Linked DNA regions of Neurospora crassa OR74A. The protein of the gene in region 1 binds, or shares a complex with, the protein of each later gene. Links are inferred from orthologs where the notes say so. Each region holds a gene or a part of one and is shown in the gene's direction. Other genes may lie near its edges.

Region 1 (6,952 bases):
TCGCTGTTGATCCATCGGACTGCGCTGTGCAGCGGGGTGTCGCCCTCGAGTCGGTTGACGGGATCGCATTCAAAGCCTGGTTGGTCGAGGAGCATGTCGATTATCTCGTAGTTGCCACGGAGCGCGGCTTCGTGGTAGAGGTGGTTGCCCATCACGGTGGTCGTGTTGTTCAAGAGGGAGGAGATTTCTTCGTCGGATTTGTCGGCGAGAATTTCCGAGAGGAGGTCAGTGTTGTTACGCCGGCAAGCTTCAATGAGCTGCTCGGAGATGGAGGCACCCTGTATTTTGGGGGGTGAAAGAAGGAAGGGTTAGCTGGGGTTGTCTGTAGTATAGCTGTTTGCGCGAGAGGGCGTAGGGCGGGTGAAACGGGGGATAGAAGAGAGAGGGTGTTAGTTGGGGGTAGAGGACGCTTGTGTGGTACGAACCTCGTGTTCTTCGTCCTTTCCGGCCATGGTTACTGGTAGGTCACTTGTGGTTGTCTCGGAAACGGCGGGTGATGTTTCTTGGTTGTAGGAAGAAGCACAAGTAGCGAAAACGACGGTGAAAGCGAAGAGGGATGACGGCGAGAGTTGTCCAAAGTAGAGAGGTAAGATTGGCCTGGAATTGCTAATTACGAGCGGGAATCGTGGAAATGGGTCGGCGGGGGAGAGTGGATGTACGGTATGGAAGTGGCCAGGCTGTCGAATCAGGTAATCGGTCGATTCCTATAAAAGGATCGGGATCGCGTAACGCTCAATGAGGGATCTTCGGGGTAATAAGAGGGCGGCGAACGACTGTTTGTAGGGTACAGTGTACTGTATTCTATGAGATATCTCCAGTCGTGGTGGTGGTGGTGGTTGTATGAAGGACGGGATGGAAGCATTCCGTACCTCTACCTAACGGGCTGGTTAGGAGGTGGCAGTGGCAGTGTCGTCTTCCCTTGGTGTTACAGAATGGTCGGCTCCTTGCGGGGCCCGATCAGGACGCTGGCATTCAGATGGCATGCGCTGAGGCCCAGCTGCATGTCAGTGAGTAGGTACGTACCTACCTTAGCACAGGCACAACAGAAAGGGCCGTTGGGTCCAGGCACCGCTGACCAAGTGTGGGACAGTTGATGATGCAGATCTGACCAATGAAAATTCAAGCGCTACATTTAAGGTTTATAGAATTAACGGACCGCATCGAGCTATAACACTTTTTTTCAGGCCATCGCCCCTACACTGACTATTTACACTCTAACAACTTATATCACTACCTTAAAGCCCAGCAAGTGGTAGACATAAACACCGGTCTTGGCCAGCTGTTTTCACAAAAGGTACCAGCTTACGGCGACGCCTCTTCTCATCAGGATCGTCAACAAGACTTTTGGCAACCGCTCGACTCATCTCACTTGCTATTCATAACGGACGATAACACACAACAAACAAATCCAGTCCCTTCATCAATAGCAAACATGCCTATCGTCTGTAAGTCCAAGTCCACCCACAAAGGCTAGGACACCGGAACTAAACGCCCACCACAGTTTGCCCATTCTGCGCCAACCTCCTCATCCTCTCCCGAGCGGACACGGGTGGCAACAGGCTCGAGTGCAGAACCTGTCCTTACGAACACCCCATCGACAAGCCCATCTACTCCCGCAAGAACTTCCCGCGCAAGGAGAAGGAAGACGTGTTTGGTGGTCCAGGCGCTTGGGACAATGCACAAAAAGGCAAGGTCCAGTGTGACAGCGGAACTTGCAATGGCAACGAGGCAGCCTTCTTCCAGGTTCAAATTCGTAGTGCTGATGAACCGATGACGACGTTCTACAAGGTAAGAAGGGGATTGCAGACTGATGGGATAAAGTAAGAAGCTAACATGTCTCGTAGTGTATGACTTGCGGGCACAGGTGGAGAGACAACAACTAGAGGAAGAAGACATGTTCAGCACAGGTCTGGTCGGATCATCAATACATGGTATTGGGGGCATTGCTTGGCGTTGGGTTTTTCTTTTGTTTTTGTGTAGTTGCATGTGAGGTATTCTTCATCAGAATCAACTTGTGCGGTACTGGCCTGCCAGAGGCTACTTCCCACTCGTTTCCATCCCTGGCATCATTCTACCCGTGCAACTTATGCCGTGCTTGGAAAACTCTCTCGATGCCAGTCGATTCCGGCCTTCATGCCCTCTAGCCTGAGACGCTCGACCAGGTCTGGGCTGATGATGTCCTGCCTGAACTTTTCCTGCTGCAGCAACTCCAGGTTCTTCAAGGTAGGCCCAGGGTAGGTGATATACTTGAGGTAAGGTGGGCGGCTCCAGTACTGGAGATAGTCGAGGTAGGCGATGAAAGCAGGATTGCTGAGTAGCTTCCTGGACGCAAGATGGTTCAGGTACAGCGGGTTGCCAAGTGCTTGAACAAACTGAGTGTTCTGTTAATACCACGCACGCTGGATGATAATGTGTATGAAGCCTACCTCCAGTTCGAGTTCGAACCGTGTATATCCTCCATACTTGGGCTCGTCTGCCCCTGATCCCGGAGGCGCAGGTGGCTCCCTTGCTGAACTGTTTACTGACATGGGATCGGATGCCATGACGTAAAAAATGAGTGTTTGTTACAGTGTTCCAATCTGTGAATGAGCTGGATACCTAGGAACGTGTCTAGATGTTTGCGCCTCTTTGTCAAGTGAATGCGATGGGCAGTACAAGTAGACGTGAGCAGTGGCTGCTCTTAAATGGTCGTTTGTGTTGGACGAAAGCCTCAACGGCCCGTGAGTGCCCGGAAGGAAGGCGAGACTGTTTTGTTCCACCAACAATTCCTCGAGGGCGGCCCGGATGTGGCAAATTAGTGGGGCAAGCAAGCGGAGATGGCTCTGTCCCTGCAGAAAAATCAGCGTGTAACCGCTATAAATACTCAGATCAGCCCTGTAACTTGCTTCTGCAGTGACAGTCAACCCGACAACAACCTGGAACCTAATTGTGGAACCCAAGGCCGCTTCCGTTGTTCCCTTCCAGGGCAGGTTGGACACGCAGCTTTATCTCAACACCAACCCAACATCCCACGTTGACGGCATTATCCACGTTGACGGAATTATCTCATCTTTCTCACTGCTACAAAAAGCATTCGATACTCGGTGTTCATATCTCATTCATAACGACAGATTACGGCAAATAGAAACGCATGAGTATCGCGAGTTGACTAGGATATCACCATGGCTTCTCCTGAAGCTTCGGCCGTCAACGCGACAGGTACTATCCTTCCATCTCCGGTTCCAGATGCCACACCATACACTTTTCATTGGGAGATGCTCCTTAGGCCAGAAGTTCTTTGGTTTGATGCTCAGGTTATCTTCGGCGCCTTGGCTGTAATATGGCTTGGTGCTCATGGCTCCCTCCGCCGACCTCCCTCCGCTGCCCCACCAGAGTCCGAAGACAAGGACGAGAAGAAGAAGAAGTCAAAGGAAGACGAGCAGTTCACGGAAGGACTGACTGCCTCTGATGCCATCATGTTTCCCATTCTGGCCGGCGCAGTTCTCATTGGGCTCTACTATCTGCTAGAGTGGCTTAAGGATCCCAACCTGTTGAACAAGATACTGCGAGGTTACATGTCTTTCGCTGGCATTGCCGGCCTCGGCAAGCTGTCCGGGGACGCCTTAGAGATTCTCACCAGCTTGATTTTCCCAAGTGTATGGTCAGATCGCAGCAACAGACTCTACTACGTCGATCCGAAACGCCGCTCTCAGGTACTAGTTGACCCAACGACGAACCAGGCCATGATCACCGACAAGAAGTCGCCTTTCCCCGGTGTGTTTTCCATGGTTCGCCTGCCTCCTGGAATCAACAGACTTGCCTGGGAGATTCGGCACCTCTTTACGGAGAAGTGGACAGTCCGCCTTGCTGCCCATGGCGTCGGCTCTTTCAAGTCGCAGATCAAGTTCAACCATCTACTTGGATTCTTGGTCTCAATCGCGATAACTACTGCATATCACCTTGTTCAGTGGCATGTCCTTTCCAACATTCTTGGGGCTGCCATGTGCTACGCTGCTTTTGGCATGCTCTCGCCCACGTCTTTCGGTATAGGTACCGCTGTTCTTTGGGGTCTCTTCTTCTATGACATCGTCATGGTGTTTTACACGTATGTTTCCACCCATCTTTCAGCCAGGACAGCTATCCAGTTACTAATCCATTTTCTACAGTCCGTTCATGATCACCGTTGCTAAAAAGGTTGACGCCCCAATCAAGCTGGTATTCAAGAGTTCGTCCGGCTTCAGCATGCTGGGACTCGGAGACATTGTTGTTCCTGGCTTGGTCATGGCACTCGCCCTTCGCTTCGACTTGTACATGTTTTACAAGAGACAAATCCAATATCAGCCAGTTGATGCGTCTTCCAAGCAGGCCTCATCTACGGATCAAGCAGCTAGTTCTACGAACGAAATGCAGTTCCGACGAACCAAAGCACCATTCGTGGAATCAGAAGGTCAATGGGGCAACCGCTTCTGGACCACCAAGCTGGGCAACCTGATGCCAAACCCAGCATGTGGCGCGGTCGGAGCTGCAACTGCTTTTCCCAAGCCCTACTTTTACGCTTCGGTAGCAGGTTATGCCTTGGGCATGGTTTTCACCTTGACGATGCTCCAGGTGTTCAACCACGGACAGCCCGCGCTGTTGTACCTGGTCCCTTGCGTTACCGGGTCCGTCTGGCTGACCGGTCTGATTCGCAGGGAACTCAAGGATGTGTGGGGCTATACCGAGGACGGGAGTTTGGACACAAAGGACGTCGTTGTTACGTTGGACGCCGATGGAGATGAGGTCAGGAAGCCAGCGAGAGACAAGGATAATAAAGAGGCGAAGGATGGTGATAAGGGTCAGAAGGAGGCAGAGAAGGAGGAAGAGGAGACATCCCAGGAGTACGATGTCGTGCTATTCTCTATCAAGGCTCCCAGGCCCAAGCCTCCAAAGACGGATTAGTCATTTAAGGTAGCCAGGTCTTTGAATCGGGCATGATGCTATTGGGATAGAGAGCGTATGGAGTTTGGGTTCGAAGAATACATAGAAGGTAGAAGTGCATGCCACTCAGCGTCATCATAATATATCCGGGAAAAAAGAAAAAGACACAATGACCCTGCCACACTTGGACACTCGCCGGGCGTTCATGCTGCGTCTCAAAACTGGACTCACTGAAACATATACATTGACAAAAACAAGAAGAAAAAGAAGAAAAAAAAAAAAAAAAAAAAAAAAGACCATGTCACCATTTGAACCCCGCGACCTCTGTCTTCTTTTCCCATCTGCTCCCTCAGCTTCGATGAGGATATGAAATTATACCCTAAAAAGAAAGCCCAACAACCGCGCACTTAAGCAGCACACATTTGTTAACCGGCTCAACGCTGTCCCTGCCATCTATTCTCTGTACTTGTCATTAACTTTCAAGTGGACGCGGCCTGACGATGTGGAGCCTTTTTGAGTTACTTGAATGTACATCATTGTTCCCGAACCAACAGGTGAGTGAGTATTTTGGGGCCAGGGAGGTTTGAGTTTTTACAACGGTAGACCGTTGCGCTAGCTGACCCAGCGGTGGCGGCAATCGTAGTTGCTGATTACCTAAGGAGCTTATATGTTCGTTTGTTAGAGGATCAACTTGGGAAGGAGCGGGAGGTTCATAAGTAGGTACTTCTAAGTACGGGGGCCTGATGGGACGGGATGGAATGTTAATGTTTGCTGTAGTGGTTATCCTTACTGTCAGTCAGTGTTGCACCTATAGGAAAAGATCCTTTTGGATGGGTATTTTAAGAATTCTCCATGTGAGAGACGGGAATTGATGATAGTGGTATATTTGTAAACTGTAACGGCGTTGTGTCCATAAGCTAAATGACTGTCCGTACCTACCGATTCCTTATGTACAACTCCAAAGGATATCATACTTGCTGTCTGCTGTTTATCCCCCTCTGACCTGATCAACACCAGACACCATCCTACCAGATCTTGTATCTCTCTACATAAGGAACGAACGGAGTTCAAACACCCACTCTCCAGCAACAGCAACAACAGCATTTACACATACGACCATAGGCACTTGGAGAACTCGGGATCCCGTCTGATCTCCCATTGATAAGCCAGTGACCGCCAGACTAGTAGTCGGATCGGTGACGACCGGCGAATAACCTGGTGTTGTATGTCTTTGTCTTTTTTTGTTCCTTCTCTTTTTGGTCCTCTACCTTTGACTCCTTCTCTTGGAGGAAAGTGGGATGTGCGTCGAAGGAATGAGAAATGGGTACTAGCCATGGAACAAAAACAGCTGGATGTCTTTCTGTGGATCAAGTTCAAAAACATGTTCTCGCCAGCTGCATTAAGTGTCTATTCTGACGAACTGTGAATGAGAATCCGTTGTGCCCCACACAAAGACTATAACGCCGTCACCTCTCAGGCCCTCCCACATTTCCTTCCTAGATCACATGGGGGCGATGATGGTAGTGTTTACAGATGAATTATAAGATCAAATTTACCCTCCCTTAAGAGATCAAAGAACAGGTAGCTGGGTAGGCGTCAGAGGACACTGTTACCTAGGTACGTAGTGCTTTAAAAGGCAAATAGAACGGTATGCAGTACGTATGAAAACGTAGTATATTTGGAGAGATCTTGATGAGTGATGTATTAAAGTTCTTACTTCACTCTGGGGTTCCCCCTTCCTTATATATATTTTAGGCCAATCATTAGTCCAGTGACAAGCCGTTGATACCATTACAATTACCATTTTCCGCTCGTTTTAATGGTACTTTTGTTTGGTCAAATATGTCAGACGTGGAGGCTGGAAGCCGGATCCGAAATATGTAGTCTTTTTCTCAGCTTCTTTCTTCAGTACTACCCCATATAATTGTCATACAAACGAAACCGTTTGACGGCTGGAGACGTCTGGTTTTTTCCTTGCAAGATTGTACATATGACTTCGTACGACTGGTGTTTGAGATCAGAACTCGATCACAAAGGTCGAGAATACCGCTGAGGG
Region 2 (7,277 bases), on another chromosome or scaffold:
CTTGATTACTGAACCATGCCGTTAACTTGCTGGGTCTTCTGGGTTTGGGGAATATATGCAAGCATGTTCGAAGACTGCAACTTGAATGGGATGCCCCTGTTTCGTGAATGGATAAAATCCCGAGAAAGACAATGATTTCGTTCTTGCGGTAGATGGAATACACCGTAGCTATTCCATCCAAGGACAACTCATGTTACTTCCAGGTGAAGGACGGAGACGGTACAGAATATGAAGAGAGGAGAAACAACGTTACTTCACAACGAGGTCCACAAACTGAACGTAGATCTGCCAACAGCCTCTCAAGACCAGCAGCCGACGTGGTGGACAACTTGACTACGCGCTCAGAAATAGGACACATTTACCAATGAACCCCTACCCACAATGTCTGTCCACTCCCGGCTTGCCGCATTATCTTGAGCCAGACGGGACTACACTACAATACAATGCTGGTTCCTTTTTATTTGTTTGGTGGCTGGTTCTTCGGTCATAGGTTTAACGGATAAGTTTTAGATTTCTTATTAGTCTTCATGAGAAATTCCATCATCCATTTAAAGTAGGTAACATAGGACAAGTGGCAAAGAGTTTGGAATGCCACAGAATCCTCTGATATATGTCTCCTTATATCGCTCTCCATCTCCTTCAAGGCCTTCAAGACCGGAGAATATCAGTCTCAAACCGTTACGCGATATAAACCCGCACGCTTCTTCTAGATCTATCAAAGCTTTGGCTCCTTTGTACCAGACTGGAGAACAAACCAGGGCTAGGTTGTACACCATAGAGGTAACCAGCCCCTACCTAGCCCGTGATCTCTTCGTATCTGCGGCTCGGCGAGCCGCGGAATTACCTGTTCACTGTTCCCCCAGGAACAAACGGGTCCTCACCTCTACATGATGATTTTGGCCCTGGCTAGGGTAGTGAGAGAACGGTGAACTGATGACGTGCTCATAAGGTAGACGGATCACGGCTATTTGCCGGGCTGGTATGGTGGAAGTTGTGATAAGCCGGCTGGACTGACTACGTATCTGGCAGTCGCCTTTTTTTCTCTCTTTTTTTTTTTTCCATGAGGTTTGGCTTCCATCATTTTAACCATCTAGTCAACGGAAACAACACACTTGTTCTTCTTAATTGATGAACTTTGGTTGGATGTTGTGGCAAGGTGGAGATGATGGGTAATGATGATCATATCGATTATACCCAAGGTCTGCCGGCGATGAGTGACTTGAAGAAACACCCCTATTTCTGAATTTTGTGTAACGGCTGCCAAAGTGGGAATCGGTCGATGTCTGCGGCTTAGAGGTTGAAGTACATTGCCGAGTTGTGAGGGCACTGAAATACATTCAACAGGATCAATAGCTCGGGTCATGATGTTCTTTCGTTGCAGCTTCTAATGTTCGCAACGATTGAAAATACATGAGAGGTTGAGATGTTATTGTGGAAAACAAACTTGGGTTCTACCAATCCGATGATACTATAACTACCTCTACGCCACTCCATTGGCTTTGATGCATTTCAGAGTCCGAGTAGACTGTTCCTAACGTTGTGACATCTTGTCTCCTGCTCCTCAACATACGAACTGTTCATCGAGCCACAAAACTCAAGTATATTGTCGACAGAGAGAGCAATATTGCTCACCCATTGTATTCAAAATGATGAAATAGTAGGATGAGGATCAGCTTCTGAATTAAATTCGATCTGTAACAAAAACGAGACGGAACCAAGGAATCAACAAAAGTCATACTAGGTATGCTTGCCGTTTGCTTTCCAAGCAGTTCACAGTTCCTCCATACCTGCAATCACTTTCTAGTAGTATAACTGTAGTATAAGTCCTGAAACGGTAGCTAAGCCATATTTGTCGAGGCCCCCGTTTTTGTTCTCAAGACATACCTAGGTAGCCATCCCACCAGGCAGTCGTCACTTCACACTACCAAAGTATCAACGCACTGAAGATGAACAGTTAAAATGCATGTAAGGAAATGGGAGTAGGCGTTTCATGTCCCAGCGAGTACCTCCCACCTCACATGGCCAGCTACAGTGCCTACCAACTATCGGAACCGCCGCATCTCGGGCAATAATTAATGCATACCTAAACTTGGTCCAAAGACAAGTAATTAGGCAAGAAATAGAAGAATACAGACAACGCTTCTACGTCATTTGAACCTTTAACAACAGTATAGAAGGTCAAGTACCTGAAACTGAAACATTGTCCTGGGGAAGACCATAAGCCCGATACTGCTCGGACCGACGACACGTTGTGGAAACGCTCGGATTGCTGTATACCAGACGATATACTTGACGTGTACCAGAGATCCAAGTCGAGAATGGTGTGCATGGTGTCACTTTTTGGACAATGGCCTCCGATTCCACCTCTTAGTGTACCGCGAGCGTCACTCTCTGTACTTGTTTTCCTTTTCCATCTTTCTTGATCCTTGTTGAAATGCTTTCCCTTACTCCCTAACATTCAAAACAATATTTCATAGCTCCGCCAGCTTGGAGTTATCTGGTTCTCATTCTCTGACGACCGGAGACGGATAACGACCTTGTGTGAAGTCTATCCTTGTCTCAAGTCAAGATTTCGAATTGCGGAGCGTATCAAATGCCATAGAGACCGTAAAGTTTGTGATGACTCTAAAACCCTTCCAGTACAATGTAGCTACCACTGAGTCATTTTGAAGAGGGAATGGTGATGATTTGAGTAGTACAGAGTCCAGGAACCTCGGGTTCTGGAGTTGGGGGTTCATCGTCAACGTGATCGAGGGTGTTCTTGCCTGAGAGTTTCGCAATCCCAAGATATTGGTCACGGAATGATTGCTATACGTGAACACCAAAAGAGCTTATTCAAATTCCGGGAACACTGGCCGATTAAATAGTGAACCGAATGTGAAGTCAAGTATTTGGAGTCTTGAGTCCGGGAAGTGAATGTTGAACCCGAGTGACCTCAAGTCCCCAGCGTGGAGTTGCGAAGTCCAAAGGCTCATCTCAGCTTGGTGGAGTATCCTCAGCAATGGAACGCGGGAGCAGGCCAATGCCCGTCAGCAGGTGGGGTCGGTAGCTGCTCGCCTAACTTTCAGCCGCCTCCATCTTCTTGCTGGGGGGCGAAACCCTGCATTTCCCAAATTCTTGGCGACGGATAAACTCTTTCTTTCCACGCTAAAAATTTCTCCGATAACAGAGGCAATAGAGGCTCAGTCAGGTTGTTGTTCACCACTCGCGTGCCGCCGACTGTTGAATTCAACCCATCCGTGTGTTCCTGGAAGGATTTACACAATCGAATAACAACAACTTTACGCAAAGATCCAAACCATCTTTCAGTTACCGGTAACTCACGTTACCAACAACCATTACAGTCAAAATGGGCAAGATCACCAAGTTCGGCGACGAGGGCGAGGAGGTTACCATGAAGGAGACCCCGACTTCTCACCAGCCGGAGGCTCAGGATGATGTCTCTATGGCCGATGCGGGCGAGGAAGGAGAGGAGGGAGATGAGGAGTATGAGGAGGGAGAGGGTACTAAAGTTAGACTTGTACGTGAAACCCTCCATGACGAATATATGTCGACTCGAGACTAACACCTGAGCACAGCTTCCTGGTTCTACGCCCACGGCCGCTTCTTTCGAGTTCCTTGATGAGAACCATACCCTTGGTAACGCGCTCAGATACGTCATCATGAAGAAGTGAGTACCGGGAGCTTCACTTGTCTCATGTTAATGAGCTGAGCTGTGACTGTGCTAACACCATTTCATAGCCCTGATGTCGAATTCTGCGCCTACGCCATTCCTCATCCCTCCGAAGCCAAAATGAACGTTAGAATTCAGACCTATGGTGCGTCATCTTTCTCGTCCACTTCTTAGCGAGACCTGTGAATACAGAGGTGAACTAACAGTAACATGCAGAGGGCACAACTGCTGTCGAGGCACTCCGCAAGGGTCTGCGTGACATTCAAGATCTTTGCGACGTCGTTTCGGATAAGTTCCTTGAGGCGCGCAAGGACTTTACTGATAAGAAGGCCGCTGCGTCTGCCTAAGCCTCTTGTTTCTCACCTTTCTTTTCATCGTTAATTTTCACCAGCATGGGTAACGGCGTTTTGGGGCTTGAATTGGTAGTAAATCACAAGGGGGAACAAAAAATAGACAAAGGAAAACTCGCTGTGAGTGGCCATCAAGATAAGGGGGGAAGATAAAAGAACAAGCGGCTGCGTCCATGGATGTTCATCTGGCTTGCGTTATATACATAGGCTCTAGAGGAAAGGCTGACATTGATACCCTTCGTTATTACTCTTCTTAGTTGCGACCCTAGATGAAAGAAGAGTATTGTGAGCTACCCGCACAATGAAGTGGCCATCATCAAAGACAAAAGAGCTGCATGTATAGGCTTACCTGCAGGAAGCCATCGATAAAGCTGGAGGGAAGTCTCTTGGCTCCACGGAAGCTCTCCTCGTTGAAGTACGACATCATGTGAGTCGTCTGGCGCCAAAAGTTCATGGTTTCCTGATAGACGCGTGGAGAGTCAGCGTCAAGTTACCAGAACAATCAGTCCGAATCGCCGCGACGCATAACATGCGCCAGCGCTCTGATATTCCCTTCTGACCCCTTGCCTGGAACCCTTTCCCTCTTCTTTTTGGGTGTTCTCCAGATTTTGGACATGACCCCACTGCTGTGCCCGTTTCTGGGGATCCCCTGATTCATGTCCGTGTGGATAGTGACGATGAAGTGGAGCCTTACTTGATAGTCGGCATGGCCCTTTGTGAGCAGAACATCCACCACGGGCAACTTGTTAACGAAGCGGTTGCGCTCGAATTCCTGCCTGATGCGAGTGCGAATGACCGAAATGGGGAGGGGTAGTGAGTACATAGACTGCATCTCGGGTGTCTGTTGTATGTGATATCCTGGTTAGCGAATCCTCGGTCGGGATTGTTCGCACTCCTCCCATTATATACGTCGATATCCAACGTGTTCGTCGAAAGCTGGAAATGCTCGTTCTATGTAGGTTCGCTCGTAACGTACCGAACGAAGCCATCGCCGATAAAGGGCGAACACCCTCCGCTTGGCGTCGCTCCAGTTTGCCGCTACAATGTCCGTCAGAGTTACTCGTTCAGCTTGTACAACTGGGGTCACTTACACTGCCTGGTGGTGATGGCGTACTTGGTAGGTGTGATGGGCATTTTGGGCCAATTCGTGACTTGAGGACCTTTGGAGGTTGTCGCCGTTCCGTTCGCCAGGGTCGGTCGATTCGTCGTTCGCATGACAGCTTGTAGCTTCAGCAGTCGGCTCGGGGTCGGTAGCATCCAGCTAAGCCACAGTTGCTCTTACACACAGAGTGCGGGCGCTGATAGCACTAGCCACAACTACAAGAGGCCAATGACGTTGGCGCCACAATTCCAAGGCGTTTCTGGCAGGCAATTTTGAGCCAGTTCACTGCACTTACGCCGGGGATCACAGCACTCTCCTCTGGTCAGCTCATTAGATTTGAAGTTCTCCATCCTTCAACCGAACAATTGCGATATCACCACACACTCCGATACTCTTCCGAGTATATACGTTAGCGCAACGCAAAACACGTTACTTAAAGCACCGCTTACTAAATCCCGAGGCCGAGGACCAGCGACGACCTCAAAATGCCAGCCATTCGCCCCGCCTCGAAGCGCAAGCCGCCCCCAGAGGGTTTTGCCGACATTGAGGAGGATCTGCTCATCTTCGCCAACAAGATGAAGGACGCACAGAACGCCCCGACGGACAACATACCCAAGCACCAGGCCAAATGGCCTATCTTCCAGATCTCGCACCAGCGGAGCCGGTACATCTATGAGCTCTACTACGAAAAAGAGGCCATCAGCAAGCAGCTGTACGAGTGGCTGCTCAAGAATGGATACGCGGACGCGATGCTGATCGCCAAGTGGAAGAAGAACGGCTACGAGAAGCTCTGCTGCCTGCGCTGCATACAGACCAAGGAGACCAACTTCAACTCGACGTGCATCTGCCGCGTGCCCAAGGCCGAGCTGAAGGAGGGCCAGGATGTGCAGTGCGTGAGCTGTGGGTGCAGAGGGTGTGCTACTGGTGATTGAAGAGGAGGAGGCACGGATTTGAGGTTATAAAATTGAAAAGGGACGGCAGGGACAAGCAACTTTTTTCAAGGCTGAGATGTGGTGGAGAAACAATGAGAAGCCAGGGGCCGACGAACGGCTGTTCAGCGCCGCGATAATGATACCAACAACATCTCTTTGTCGAGCACGCATCGGGAGAGGGAAGAGGCGTTCACGGGGAGAGGGTAAGATAAGATGCTTTCTCCTTTGCAGAGCTATGTTTGACGCTTACTGTTGAGGGAGCAGATTGAACAAACATACGAACACGTTATGTCATGATATCATGGAATGTGAGGACCGTATCAGTATGTTCTCGCTACAGATGTGCAATAATATGTTTCAGCTGCCCAGTACTAATGGAATTGGTTTGCCCAAGCCTTACCACATCTCGTTTTTGCACTTCCTCTGTTGTCACCTTTTGGCGAATCCAGTCTTTCCTCCACGACCACGACCAAATCTGACACTGGAGGGTACGAACTGCAGTGCAGACATCTTGCCTACCAAGTCTCCCATATCCACGTCAGCCGGCTCCTCAACGGCCTCCTCGTGCGGTTGGTCTGTCATCTCAGCATCGGGTTTCGTCGATGTTGGAGTGGGCTCGGGCCGATCTACTTCCATCCGCTCCTTCATTTCTGATGGAGGCTTTGACTTGGAGTTGACCTTTGGGTCGGAAGAGCTGGCATGTGTTTCCGCTGCCGATGGCTTGTGGACCCGTTTCTGTTTCGGCCGCCGTTCATCCAACAACATCGACTGCCGCCCGTCAATACCGTGCAGTGTCACCGCGAAGAAGAAATTCTTTGGGTACATGTGCTTATCAATGAGATGCATCCGTCGCTTTTGGGGGGTCATGCATTTCCTTTCGCAACCTTCCACGAAGCAGGAGTACTGGAACGTTCGTTAGTGGCAAGCCTGCCAAAATTGAATCGGCACTCGGCAAGGCCAAGGACACGCCAGGACCAGGAGGGGAAAGAGGAGAAGTTGGAGGGCAGGACATACCGTGTGTTCACCTTTGTCTCTTTTGACAGCCGTGAAGGAGTCATGATTCTCCTCGATGTGCAGCCCAAGTAGATGAGACGAGGGGAAGTTTTTACGGCACTCGAGGCACCGGTTGGTGTGGATGCTGTTGTAATGGGATTCGTACTCGGAGTATGTCAAAAACACCAGTGTGTCCTTGTGTGGCGGCAGCGAACATTTCATCTGCA

The links.
Region 2: NCU00570 (region 1) and NCU00419 share a complex: the UniProt entries of both Saccharomyces cerevisiae proteins name them as parts of the RNA polymerase III (Pol III) complex. The link is inferred for Neurospora crassa OR74A from reciprocal best matches to the Saccharomyces cerevisiae genes RPC11 and RPC19.

Annotation. Positions count from the first base shown.
Region 1 is NC_026501.1:7,970,218-7,977,169, forward strand, and holds NCU00570 (DNA-directed RNA polymerase III polypeptide), read left to right. Parts: upstream 1-1,193; 5' UTR 1,194-1,432; coding exon 1,433-1,445; intron 1,446-1,501; coding exon 1,502-1,788; exon of another isoform or gene 1,789-1,844; coding exon 1,845-1,883; 3' UTR 1,884-2,064; downstream 2,065-6,952. Other genes in the region: NCU00571 (hypothetical protein), read right to left, coding at 1-278, 426-452; NCU00569 (SOH1 family protein), read right to left, coding at 2,085-2,372, 2,427-2,543; NCU00568 (hypothetical protein), read left to right, coding at 3,162-4,084, 4,146-4,917. UniProt on the Saccharomyces cerevisiae protein: DNA-dependent RNA polymerase catalyzes the transcription of DNA into RNA using the four ribonucleoside triphosphates as substrates. Component of RNA polymerase III which synthesizes small RNAs, such as 5S rRNA and tRNAs.
Region 2 is NC_026503.1:3,780,117-3,787,393, reverse strand, and holds NCU00419 (DNA-directed RNA polymerase I and III polypeptide), read left to right. Parts: upstream 1-3,135; 5' UTR 3,136-3,349; coding exon 3,350-3,520; intron 3,521-3,578; coding exon 3,579-3,670; intron 3,671-3,741; coding exon 3,742-3,818; intron 3,819-3,889; coding exon 3,890-4,020; 3' UTR 4,021-4,143; exon of another isoform or gene 4,144-4,276; coding exon of another isoform or gene 4,277-4,288; 3' UTR 4,289-4,372; downstream 4,373-7,277. Other genes in the region: nuo14.8 (NADH:ubiquinone oxidoreductase 14.8kD subunit), read right to left, coding at 4,277-4,288, 4,373-4,483, 4,718-4,864, 5,000-5,061, 5,115-5,238; NCU00417 (cell cycle control protein cwf14), read left to right, coding at 5,611-6,057; NCU00416 (C2H2 type zinc finger domain-containing protein), read right to left, coding at 6,487-6,960, 7,072-7,277. UniProt on the Saccharomyces cerevisiae protein: DNA-dependent RNA polymerases catalyze the transcription of DNA into RNA using the four ribonucleoside triphosphates as substrates.